Linked DNA regions of Coturnix japonica. The protein of the gene in region 1 interacts with the protein of each later gene in a pairwise test. Links are inferred from orthologs where the notes say so. Each region holds a gene or a part of one and is shown on either strand. Other genes may lie near its edges.

What was found.
Region 2: the proteins of SPDL1 (region 1) and DNAAF4 interact in binary tests that used the Homo sapiens proteins (3 or more experiments, as listed by UniProt). The two-hybrid records come from large-scale screens. The link is inferred for Coturnix japonica from reciprocal best matches to the Homo sapiens genes SPDL1 and DNAAF4.

Annotation. Positions count from the first base shown.
Region 1 is NC_029528.1:6,762,058-6,768,841, reverse strand, and holds the start of SPDL1 (protein Spindly), read left to right. Parts: upstream 1-3,121; 5' UTR 3,122-3,213; intron 3,214-4,751; 5' UTR 4,752-4,790; intron 4,791-6,281; 5' UTR 6,282-6,301; coding exon 6,302-6,460; intron 6,461-6,784. UniProt on the Homo sapiens protein: Required for the localization of dynein and dynactin to the mitotic kintochore.
Region 2 is NC_029525.1:6,876,009-6,882,792, forward strand, and holds the start of DNAAF4 (dynein assembly factor 4, axonemal), read left to right. Parts: upstream 1-3,149; 5' UTR 3,150-3,244; coding exon 3,245-3,367; intron 3,368-3,842; coding exon 3,843-3,990; intron 3,991-4,656; coding exon 4,657-4,790; intron 4,791-5,119; coding exon 5,120-5,360; intron 5,361-6,098; coding exon 6,099-6,244; intron 6,245-6,784.

The DNA.
Region 1 (6,784 bases):
ATGCAAATTGAGTTGAAATTTAAAAGTAAGGATGAAAAGCAAGAAAAGGCAAGCATGGCATACAAGGTGCTAGTCTACTTATCGTGTAACTTTCACCACATCTCTGTTCTGAACTACTTCACCTCTCTCCATTAGAGTCTGTACACTTCCATAACCGGACCCCTTCCTAATTACATGTACTTAGGAATTTCATTCTAAGTCTCCCAGACCACTGAATAAATAGTATAAAATGTGACAGCTCAGAATAAAAGTAATGGAAAATACCAGCTTTTATACAGAAGTGTCTTCTATTTTAAAACAGACTCTCTTGATAGATGATCTGTTTATGTTCCCCAAGCAATCATGCAAAGCCTCTGAAGGCAAGTTACCATTAAATCAGCAAGAAACCTGCAAAAGATGTCTTTGTTTAGCTAACGTGTCCGAAACAGCGAGATGAAGAGATCTGGATGAGGTCAGCCACTAATTGCTTAGAGTGGATTAGAAACAGCACGTTACTGGCCCTCAATCTGTTGCTGTAATTACTGAACTACGTGATTTCTTTGCAACAGAACTGAAGTACCACTGCACTTGGAATTCAGAGTAATTAGCCAGAGACTGAATTCTATGTACGTAAAGGTGAAAGTGCCTCATCTCAAATAAACAGATAACTAAGGGAGAACACTTTAGTAATAGATATCAACTTAAAAACATGGAAGGGATTTAAATTCCTCTTTTAGATGTTGCACTAGCAAGTGTAACATGTCTTTGGATTGTACAGAATTTAGGGTTCTGAAATGAGGAGTGGGAATATGTCAACAGACAAAAAAGCAATCCTCAGGCTTAAGTTGCTTAACCCTGCATGTGTTTACCCCAAATGACTTAAGCAGCTTCTAATCAGATTCTCAGTAGGCTGCTATTACTTACTTGCTTCCTATAGCATTCAGGTTCTTAAGCATAGAAGCAAAATAGTTGTCAGCTCATGTTATACTGTTGAGATTCACAAAGCAATAGGTAAAGATTAAGGCATATTTAACCTGATCTTTTCTTATAAAGGTATAAAGCCTCCTCTTCAGAATAAACAATTTTTGCAATTACTTCATTATTTAACGCAGAATACTTACCTGCTTCCATAGATAAGACACAGAGGATGTCCATTTCCACTTTATACAGTCAGTAGTGTATGGTTTAAACTCATAGCTAAGAGGGGCAAAAGTATTTGTCTCCATCAAACTATATGCACTACAAAAGATACATTTGGTGACCTTGTCTTTCTATACTTTTCTACAACCACTTACAAGTAAAATCTAGCTTCCTACAAGCAAGTACTCCTACATTTTAAGAAATCTTTGTATGTAGCCGAGCTCTACATACTGTTATTATGCAGCTATTAAATCTTTTATAACACTGGTGAAAAATCTTACAGTATTATGACAAAAATTGTGTGCTATTTGACAAATCTGTATTACTAGAAGCTTATTAGCTACTAACTGGTGCAAGTGTTTTATATCCACAACCAATGGATGTGATTTGTCAAGCAGTATCCTAGTGGGTGCTAATTCAATGTGGAAAAGTTCTGATAATAACTCAATATTTGAGATACTTTTTTTCATTGAGGCTCCATGTCTGTTTTAAATATCAGCTGTGTAACGTGACTGTGGCACTGAAACACAGCATCTGTTTCAATTGTTTGGTGATTTTAGCACATCATGTTGGATAACTGATCTGATGGAGTAATCACGTTGATATTTATTTACCATGCAGTTTGCATTTTTCAAAGCTGTACTCAAATAATTGCCAGGGGAATTGTATGGATTTGTTAATTCAGTCACTGTTATCCTTCTTGTAAAACAAGGGGGTGAGCTGCATGTATCTGGAGCAGCTAATCACACAACCAGTGCAGCAGAATCAAAATTAGAACAGAGGATTCTCCTGCTTCCTGACCCTGCTTTAATCAACTTGGCATTCTTGCCTGTCTAGACCATTCTGCATTTAACTCTTAATCAATTTTCTGTTGACATAAGCTAGACCCACACACTTTGATTAAAAAGTATATGTAGTGATATATGGTTCTGACCATTCCATTTTTACTGCCTCCATAGAGTTCTGTACCATATGCTTATTTTCCAAGCCCCAGTTATCATAAGACATCTATTTTTGTCTCGGTTACTGCAAATAGGATTGTTACCCGTGCACTAACTTACAGCCTGTTGCTTGTATTTAGCTTTGCATTACACGAGGTAGAGCTCCCTAGAGGCAGAATTTGCTTTGGTGTGTTCCTATTCAGTGGCTGTTCTTGTACATGCTATGTTAGATATGAGAACAAATCTTCCATTCTCATTGATGTTATTAGAGAGGGTGCAAACATACATAAATTAAACATTTAACCACTGCTTTAAAGATTAACATTCCCCAGGCTTCCTATTAGAGCAAAGGAAATGGCAGCAATGCCCATGTTTTACTGTAGCTGCTTGGATTTGACCAATATAAATGCACAATGAAACGGTCCAGCTGATGAGTTTTGCTCTTTTGTGGTGGTTCACAGCTCTGAATTCTGGGCAACCTACTGCTATCAAATTCCTGCCTGGCATCCCAGGAAAGGATGATGAGCAGAGCCCACTACATGCTGTGGAGAATGGAGCAAACAGAAGCAAGTGTAGTTAATCCCTGTGCTGTAAGCTCTGGAATTTGTTTCTCAGATTAATAAGGAATTTGAGGGTAAGTTCCACAGAGGTGAGAGCACAGTTTGGATCATCATTAAGGTTTCCTTGGGGACAACAGTCCCTGCTGAGGAATGGGAAAGGCACAAAGGAGACACTTAACGTGCTCTACTGTCAAGACCAAAACTTCCCCCTAAAATACATCGGGGTACAGCAGATGGCCCCTCTGCTTTGCAGCACTCCTCACTTTCTGTACCTCACCACTTACTCTGTGCTCTTTGAACGAAGCACTGCAGCGTGAGACCTCGGAGCTGAAACAAGATACCACCAGGATACAGCGATACGACACTCCAGCCACGAACAGCCGGGTAAACTCAAACTAAACTGTTCATTTCTCTTCTCACAGCCTCCCGTCCACACACACACACACCCCTCGCGCTCCCTCACAGCCGCGCTCCCACCCCCGCTCCACTAACGGTCGCCACAGCGGGGCAGCTGAGGGCGGCTCTCGCGATACTCGAGGCGGGGCGGTGGAGCCGAGTTTGAATGATGGCGGCGGGGCGGGCTGAGCGCTGAGGTAACCGGCGGGGCTGGGTTTTATGTGAGAGTTTTGCTGCTTTCCTGTTATTTTCCTTCTGGAGGAGGGTCTTTGTGAGCGGTAGGACTGAGGGGGCTCCTGGGGGGCGTTTAGCAACACTTGTTTACTCTCCTCGCTCTGCCGCGGAGCCCCGCGGCCTCCAGGCCGTGATGCCGCCTTTGTGGCAGCGGCTCTTGGTTCTTCAGCCGCCGCGGGGCTGCTGAGCGCTGCTGTGCTGTTAACGCCTGAACACTTTAATTAAACCTCATGGAGAACTTGGAGAAACAATCTATTCCCTACACCAGCACTTCCTGAGCCAGCAGTGTGCCCTTGTAGCCAAAAAAGCCAATGGCATACTGGGGTGTATTAAAAAGAGGGTGTCCAGCAGGTCAAAGGAGGTGATCCTCCCCCTCTACTCTGCCCTGGTGTGAGGCCTCATCTGGAATATTGTGTCCAGTTCTGGGCTCCCCAGTATAAAAAAGACAGGGATCTCTTGGAAAGAGTCCAGCAGAGGGTTACTAAGATGGTGAAGGGCCTGGGGCATCTCCCCTATGAGGAGAGACTTAGGGAACTGGGTCTGTTTAGCCTTGAGAAAAGAAGGCTGAGAGGGGACTTGATCCAGGTTTATAAATACCTGAGGTGTGGGAGCCATAGTGGTGAGGCTGGTCTCTTCAGTAGTGCGTGGGGATAGGACTAGGGGTAATGGGATGAAAGTACAGCATAGGAAGCTCCATATGAATGTGCAGAAGAACTTCTTTACAGTGAGGGTGACGGAGCACTGGAACAGGCTGCCCAGGGAGGTGGTGGAGTCTCCTTCTCTGGAGATATTTAAGACCTGCCTGGACGCCGACCTGTGTGACATGGTGTAGGGAGCCTGCTTTGGCAGGGGGGTTGGACTTGATGATCTCTAGAGGTCCCTTCCAACCCCTACAATTCTGTGATTCTGTGATTCCTGGTCTGATTGAGTGCATCCAAAATAGACGGTAAAAAGCTGGTGTTCCCCGTTATCCTGAAGACATTATTCTGCTGAAGAAGTTTGTGAATAGGGAACCGATTTTAATTGTTTTTTAAGCTTCTGTTAGGTTGTTTAATTTCATAACGTCCTGCTGGTGTTATCCAGTATCTAATCTATTGACAGCCATAAGATCTTGTCTTTGAAACTGTGGGAAATAGCAGAGAGACTGAAGAATAACTGGATGGTTTCGAGGCAAATTCACAAGTTAAATTAAACTTTAAAATGCCGTTGGTGCTGGGAGGAGGCGGCCCTGGGAGCAGCCCTGCTTCCAACTTGGGAACGATTGCAGTGTGTCTTTCCTTTGGCAGCAGTGCCTGATGTAGCTGCTCCTGTGCTGTCTGACAGCTGCCTTAACAGAGGGTACAGTGAGATCGGCCTTTCTGTGGGGTTTTAGGAGCTGATCTCATTTCCACAAGGCAGCCACAGTCATAGAGCTCATAAGACAAGGATTGCTGTGGAGGTAACAGCCATTTGTGCTTTATATGCACTGCACAGCTGTGTTTGTTGTTGTTTTTTTTTCCAGGGCATAAATGTTAAGTGACACTTGAATGAACTTCTGAAGGTGAGTTAAAAATATTACTGAAATTTAATGCAATCCAGGAGCAGTTAAATTATTTTACCTGTAATCGTCACATGTTTCTGTTGGAGCAAATAAGTTTCTTTATTATTTTTAATTTCTGTTTATTAAGTAAGAATTAATTAATGCCCTTTGGTGCAAATACCTGCAAGGAGTTTTGTCTAGTTTTACTTATGCTGCCTTCTTGTCTTTAACAAGAATTGTGTAAAGATTAAATTCTATGCAATGTATGTGTCCCTGTAGTTCTTGTAGTATTCTATAGAATGCTGTCGTGTTATAGGTTCTTCTTAAATATACATATCTGGCAAATCTATATCTTTTAAGATTTATTTCGGGTTAGGGGTGTAGAACTGCTAATTCAAGTACTGCAGTAAGTAGACATGAAAAATTAGTTTCCAAGTTTAACAGAAAGAAGAAATGAGGGAAAATGAATGCTCTCTGATTTCCATCTTGTCCCTGTGAAAGGAACTCACAGGGTTCTGGTGCAGTGGATTTCTGTCTGTTAAAGTAATATCTTTATAAAGGAATCTGAGCAAGTCGAGTGGGATTATTTTTGGTACACAACAGCTTGTGGAAAATGAAGACGTTACACTGTAAGCTTAACTATGATCTTAACTGTATTCACCAGTAAAATTTGCAGTGCATTAAGAGCAGCATCTTGTGCATAGAGTGTCCTTGTGGCTGTCAGCCAGTAAGAATGAAGGACAGTAAAATCTTGAAGAGTGACTTTGATTATTTTTATTAAGTGATGTAAAAATTGGGAACGTTGGCTCTGCAAAATCAGCCGTAGTTGCTGTATTTGTTGTTACTGTGTGCTTTCTGAGAAAATACTGGCTTACATGGCTCAGGAGCTCAAGTTACTTAGAGATCTCTGCTCTAATGGGATTGTTTTGTACTGCATGGATTTAGTAGGCTTAAGAGTCAGCAGTCGTGCAAGCAGTTGGTACAAGTTTGAGTTGAACTTCGTTATTTTAGTATTTTGCTTGGAATCATTTTTTTTCTTCCTGAAAAATCATCCTTTGTGTCGTATGTTTGGAGATGAAGATAGAAATCAATGAGTTTTCTAAGACTTGCGTTACTGTGTACACAAGTAATGTTATGGTTCATATGGTTTTATTTATGGTAATGTGGAAGACATCAGTCACGTGCATAATTGTTTTTGGCCTTCTCTGTTGAGATAGCTCTGTGCTGGGTATCTCTGATTCTGCTGAAGTCCCTGCGATGTCAGGAACTGACCCAGGGTATGCAGGAGTTGCTGCACCACATGCTATTCCTGCTCTGCAGTCACAACAAGACAAAGTGACCATTTTATTATTAGTGGGATCACTTGTTAGAGAGCTAACCACGTTTTGTCTTGTGTTGATGTAGCCTGTACCTCTGTACCATAATAAGGCACGGAAATACAGTAACTTTGCTCAGTTGAACTGCTTTCACAGGTTGGCTATGATTGTAACCATTTTTTCTTTCCAAATTGAGGCAATAAAAGGAAGAAAAAAATGGAGACAGAGACCATTCTAAATCTTAGACAACAACTGAAAGAAGCAGAGAACGAGCGAAGAAAGGCTGCACAATATGGCTTACACTTACTGGAGTCTCAGAATGAAATTCAAAATCAGTTGGATCAAATACGGCGTGAATTAACGGAGAAGACTGAGGTGAGGCTCTAAACTTGAAGTAAAAGATTAAGAAGTTACTTCTGTTTTCTGAAAGTCACAAGTGTTTTAAATGCCTTCTAGAACTTCCAGATGGATTTTCATTGAACTTCTTATTTTAAGTATTGAGAGGACTTTTGATTGCTGCTTTGAGATAATGAGCACAACTTTATCTAGCTGGACATAGTTTCAGAGCTCATTCTGCATCAAATGCTCAGTACCATGTAGGATTAATTACCTCTTATGTACATGAATAGTAGTTGCTGAAGTGAGCTTGTGTTGGGTCTGTTGAACCCCTGATTTATGTTTTGCTTGCTTTGCAACCTT
Region 2 (6,784 bases), on another chromosome or scaffold:
TGCAGGAAGATGTAGAACTGGATGTGCTCTATCCTGCAATTACTGCATTTTGTCTGAAGCTTTCTGTATTAGAATAGACTCTTCCTTAAAATTGGAAAATAAAGCGTACTTAGCAGAACCTTTAAGGCAATATAACAGTCCTACACTTCATCTTTTGTGATGCACCTTCACTTTTTGGATGGAATGCCTCCAATTCCTTGTTGCTTTACATAGATATCAAGAGCTTTCTTCAGTGCTTTAGCATTGTGTATCATCACTTCTGAGGTAATTAATGCTGAATCATGTTCAGACCCTTTCTAGCTTAAAGTACTCAGTGTCTCAGTTACCTGTTTCAGACATGGCTTATGATCACAGGAAACACCCATGTTTATGTTGCTTACTGTACATGATGAATTTTTCCTATTCATGTTCAAACAACTGTCAGCCTCAGAATAATTCTGATCCAGCCCCACCTTGTTCCTCACAGCTTTGTGCACTGTCTTTCAGGAATTGCTGTTCTGGAGACAGTTCAGGGCTGGAGTCATAAGGGTTGTTGCCTTTCTAGAGACTTCTATCATCTGAACTCCCACATAACTTAAGGAGGGCAAGCTTTTAATATATTTGGGGTTTCTTTCTTTCTTTCTTTTTGCCTTTTTTCTTTTTTTTTTCTTTTTTCTTTTTTCTTTTTTTTCCCTGAAATGTGAAATAATAGGTAGCTGCTGCTGAGGAATTCTTACTTGAAGGACATTCTCTCCTCCAGGCTTTTATATACGGCCCTTAGAGCAGACATTGTGTTGTTTAGGGGCTTTCTGACTTGGAATTTTTTTGTGTCTCCCTTCTTTTTAGAGCTAAAGATGAGTTGAAAATGGCAAGTTACCAATCCATGGCTATCTGAGCAGTGCAAAACATGAACTGATTGTTGACTTCTTTTGCTGTTAATAAAGATGTAATATTTGCCCCTTTAGAAGAACATACATCAGAATCTGAATCAAGTGTTCTTGGAAAATGTATATGATAGATTTTTGTCCAGCACTGTATGCAACTTTGTTGCTTTCTGTTGTCTGGTTTAAGTTTCTTTTAAAATAAAGAAGGTGGGGGTTTGTTTTAGTTTGTTTGTTTTTGGGGGTAATTTTGTGTCGATTTTATGAAGATGATGTAATGCATAAGTGAACTCTGAATGTTTTGCCTGTGAGAATGCATTTGGATTGGGCGTAACCCTGCAAGCCACTGTATCCATTTGGAAAAGGCAGCTCCTGTTTCTGTTGGAGAGAGCTGCTGTCCTGTAGAGGCATTAATCTGAACTAACTTCAAAGCAGATTAGTAAAGGTCTTATACCATATCCCTTCTATTTATTAAAAGATGGGAAGAAATGCGAAGGCACCATTTGGCTGTATGAAATTGCAGAGCTTTTCACTTTGGGAAAGAGATTATGCAAATAATTATTTATTCTAATTAATAAAGTTCTTACTGAGCCATTACTATTTTTTTTTTCCTGAAATGCCATCGCTAACATGCAGGAAATGAATACCTTACCTGTGATGTTTATAAGCAGTGCTATGGGTGGTCCCAAACCACACACTGAAAGCACTTCATGGAATAAAAAGCATCTCAAAAAATGTGCCTGCTCTTCTCAAAATGTGAAGGGATGAGAGAAATGGGAGAGAACTTAGAAGAGGGGTGTGGGGGGGGGGAGGGGAGGGAGAAGGTATTTATTAAATTATGATAAGAATGCGTAAAAGGAAAGTTTAAAGCTTCTGAAGCCATTAGGTGGAAGCAAACCCCTGCAAGATATGTATGTATTGGCAGCTAGAGGATCCAGAGTAATATTAAGATTTGTCTGAACTACAAGCCTCTGTCCTATAAAGTACAGGAAATAAGAATTTAAGTTTTCCATGGGATGTTTCTGCATTTTTGTCTGGTAAGTTATTACCAACAGAAGATTCTGAATTGACCTGTGACTATTGATTTCTGAGTCCCTTTTGTGTGCTGTAGCACCTCAGTCTGCTACTTTCACCTAGGAATGTGTTAGTGACTTTTATTATATCTTCTTCTTTTTTTCTTCTTTTATTATATCTTCTGCAAGTGAAGTACGGAGCTTGGCATAGGAGATCTGGTATTTAAGTAAACAGGTATAAATGTAAGGTACTGGAACTATTTTGTGTAATTTGAGAACATCAAATACTGGTAAGTGTAACTGTGGCCTGTGTTGTAAATTGTGTATAAATTTGTTATTTCTGGCAGGCATAAATAACAAGCTGCTTCATTTCAGTGTATTCTCTGTGACTGAAGTAAAAATGACATCTGGATGAGAAAAGCAGAAAGCCGGCCCTCAGCAAATGTAAGACTTTGTTATCTTTGGACAGGGTTATGTGTGGTAAGAATACCTAAAGCATGTTGTCTTGGAGTCAGATCTTGTTTTGCTTGTACTTTTGAATGCTCTTGGAATGAGGATCTTAATTCATATCTCAGATTCCCGTTCATGCAAGCATTCACCGTGATGATACTGATCTTGGTGAATGAAGGTGGAAAATAACCCAGAGATCACATCAATTATGATGGATTTCTTTCTCTGAAAAAGGTTTCTAAACCCCTGCAGTATCTATGTTGTTCTGAGAGCAGTAGTGAGCTCATAGTATGAACCACTGGCATCTGATCACTCCTTCAGAATACAGTCACATTAGGAACGTGTGCACATGTGTACACACACACACACACACACACACACTCACTCATTCCCTTTTTGGTTCTTTTGGATTTTTCCAAGTAGTTCCAAGTAACTTTACATATGTCAGGGATTTAAATGCACCGGTGCTTCTCCTCAGCTGACGTTCCCCAGAACTAGTTGCTTTCTATGTGCTTTGGTTGGACACAGGCATTGCTGTTTGGGCAGCAGCCTGTTACCTGTCTGGGTCAGCACTGTGTGGGGCACTACATGGCCTGCCCCTCGTTAGAGTTCATCGGGAGCTTCAGTGCTTCAATCAGCCCTCGGCTAGTAATAGTTTTTACTAGAAGTTCTCAAAGTACCAACAGTGGGTTTTTGGAACGGCAGTTGGATAATGTGAGCTGCGTTCCATCGTTCCCTGCTCGGGTGTGACTGACGGAATCCAGACCAGCTCCGTGTCTCGGTGAGTAACGGGCTGAGATCCGACCCCCTCGCTGAGTTCTGCGGCCCTTCACTCCCACCCTGCGGCGCTCCGCTCCGCCCGGGATCCGTTGGGTTACGGACCCCGGAAGCGCTCGGCCTTCCCTAGCAACGCCCGGCGCCATGCCGCTGTGGCTGCGGGAGCACAGCTGGCGGCAGAGCGGCACGGCCGTGTACCTCTCGCTGCCCGTGCGCGGCCTGCGGGTCACCGCCGCCAACATCTTCTGCACCGAGCGGTACCTGAAGGTGGGCGGCAGGGCAGCAGGGCTGCGGCTCGGCGCTGCTCCGTTGAAAAGCACGCGTTCAGCGCTGCTGATTTTGCGGTCTCTTACAAACGTTAGGCTCTGCTGTCCCATTACGTGCAGCGAGCTGTTAGTACCTATTCCCTAGTATGTTTCCCTATAATAGTACCTATTCCCTAGGCTGCCGTGTCACCGGTCCAACTAATAATGCCAGCACCTGCTTTGCCTTTTGTGTAAGCTTCTGCTTATACTGTGACTTATAATGATAAACTCGAGGTCTGCTATTTCTATTCAGGTGCTGAAGAACACACTGTTTGGGTCTCTTATCTGGTCCGGCTGTTATAAAACCTCAGTAGGGCATGCTAAGCTAATCAGCTTGCTGAGTAGCACTTGTTGCCTGAGTGTTGAGTACTTGGAACACCCAGGAATGAAATAAGAATTCATTTATTAGTATGTGTTTGCTAACTGTGTTTTTATAGGTAAGCGTCCCTCCCTTTTTATTTGAGGCTGTTTTATATGCTCCGATTGATGAGACAAATAGCACAGCAAAGATCGGCAATGGAATCGTCTTCTTCACTTTGTATAAAAAAGAAGCGTCCATGTGGGAGTCCCTGACTGTAGCAGATGGTAAGTTCTCTGCTGGGAAAAGCAGATTGCGTGTAAAGAACCCAAGCTGTGTGAAAACTCTTTTCTGTGGCTTTGCTGCTTTTCTAATTGTGTTATTTGATATAGATAAATGTTACCTTTACGGCTTCAGAAAGTGCAGGAATTGTCATCTGTCACTGAACATTGTGGATGTCAGACGGGGACATTATACCTCTTGTTTTTCTCTGGGTCACCTCTCACTCATTCATAGGAAATTGTAGGTGATATTTGTGGTGTTGCCAGTTCCATGTTGACTGACCGCTGGGGCTGAAATGCTGGTTCTGTGTAGAGAAATTACTAGAAAAGCCAATTTAGGGGGAAAAAAAGAATTCTGCGCTCTAACTTTACAAATCATAATTAAAAATGTGTAACCTGCAGCTGCATGTCTACTAAATTAAACCTTGTTTATTGTTAAAATAGAAAGTACAGCAGAACAGACAAATAATGTTTCTTATGAAACTAACTCTGTGTGTTCGCAAGTCTTTGATTTTGGTGTTTGGAGATGGGCTTGATGAAAACTCCTTCGTGGAGCTGGAAGCGTTGCATTTTCTAAGGCAAAGTGAAAGAGAGGAATCTTGTTTCTGTGCAAGTGGTAAGTCACAGTAGAATTTCAGACCTGAATTAGTGAACAGTTTTTGTTTATTTAAGTTAACAAGGAGGAACTGCAACACCTGAGAGAGAATGCTGTTCTAAGAGCACAAGAAAAGGCAAAAGAGGAGACAGAAGCAAAAAAAGTTACAAAACAGGAACATAAGAAGTATGCTTTGGAGGCTACAATGAAGGTAAATGTAGAAGGAACTCGATATCCAAGACATGGATGTAACTGTCTGCCGGCTAACCTGGGAGCTGGTTGGTTAAATGTCCAAGTACTCATGTTTATTTCAGTGGTGAGTTTTAAAAGCTAGTCACAGTTTACTGCTCATCATCACAATTACTGTCACAGTCATTTTTAAGCATTTTTTATAACTTTGCCTGTGGGCTCTTGATGATGATGATGATGATAATGATGATGATGTGCTTGGGGTATGAAACTGGCAAAAACAATGACACCTTTTACTCAGTTATCTTATTATTGAGTGTTGTGTATCTCATAGTTCTATCATTCACACAGCTAGAAGAAGCAGAAAGAAAAAGAATTGAAGGTCTGAAAGAAGAGGAGAGACAGAAAGTCACTAAGGAGTTGGAGCTATGGAGAAGTCAACAAAAAGATGATGATAAACAAAAGAGGGTACAAAATGAAGGGGAACTGCATGAAGAAGTAGAGCAACTAAAGGAGAAGAAAAGGGAAAAAATAAACAAAACTGGAATTTCGAATGAAGGAATTTCTAAGACCAAACTCAAAGATACAAGAGGTTGTGTTATTGAGATATATTTTAACATTCTGCACAATGTGGATATAACTTTATTCCTAGATGTTTCTGGTTCATTTTTTATCTTTGTCTCTACTGTACTGAACTCTTTTTTTTTTTAGTTTGCAGTTACTTTTGTGTCTTTATTTTCTTGCAATTCATTGAGCTAAAGTGAGTGAGTTCTTAGCTCTCATTTAAGTCTTTGGAAACACCAGCTAAGTTTTGTTGTAGGCTTTAGTGAAATAGAACAGAAAGTCTTTCAAACAGTGTAATGCAAACTTTCTGAGGGTGGAGTTCATGTTACCAGTGGAGTGTCTAACTGCCATTTTTCATAGAGATAAGCATGCTCGTTTCACTCTCCCATGCCTTGGTCCTTCAGAGAGCCAATAAGGAACTAAGCCAACAAAAAATTTGTTCCTTTTGGTTTTGTTTGTATTGTTTGGTAAGATTAGTTTTAGGTCTTATGCTTGCCCCACTAGAGAGTCACGTGAGTGAAAGCGTGCATTAAAATAATTCATTTCTGACAGGTAGTGTAGTGTCAGTAATAGATTGCATGCTTAGCAGCAAGAACAAATGCTGCTTGAAACTTTCCCTCAATAGAATAAGTCCCAACTTTCCTGAAGGCTTATTTCTGATAACCAGAATTTCTAGATTGGGTTTATTTTGGAATTGGGAAGAGAAACAGAAAGATAATCCCTTTTCCTTCACTTTTCAATTCTGGTACTTTAATTCTTTTTGTAGGTCATGGTTCCCATAGTATCTTTTCAGAGAATTTAAAAGAAGAGCAGTTACCAGCTCCTCGATCTGCTGGTACAATTAAAATCAACTTTACACCACGAGTTTTTCCTACAGCTCTACGAGAGTCTCGTGTAGCAGAAGAGGAAGAGGTAGGGATTGGTCTGTTTGTGTGGTGCTTCTCTTGTCTTCCAGGATGGCAAACTATTTACTCTTTATTCAGGAAGTTGGCAAAAACGTCACCTGTGGACTATTCTTATCTTCCAAAAGAATACAGTCTTACCTAAAGATTTACATACTTTTTGCAGTGCATTGTGCAGATAAATAACATTCTTATTTTTAATTAAAAATCTGCAATATTGAATTCCACAAATAACAAAGTTTGAAATTTATTTGCTCTTACATTTAATACTCATTAAGTTCTGTCTTAAAAAAGAACTCGCTAAAGCTTACTACTCACAGTAAAGCTCTCCTGAGCTTTATTTAATAGGTATTATGCTGCAGTAACCTTACTTCTCATGTAGCAATAAAATATTTTGGGAAAATAGGAAATTGTTCCTGTCTTAAATTATTAAATATTTAACTGTGTCCAAGATAGGAGGCAAATAGAATTATTTCGGTAGGACTGAATGAGCAAATAAGAACAAGATTTAATTTTTCCTTCAGAAATAATACTTGCAAATTGTCTATTT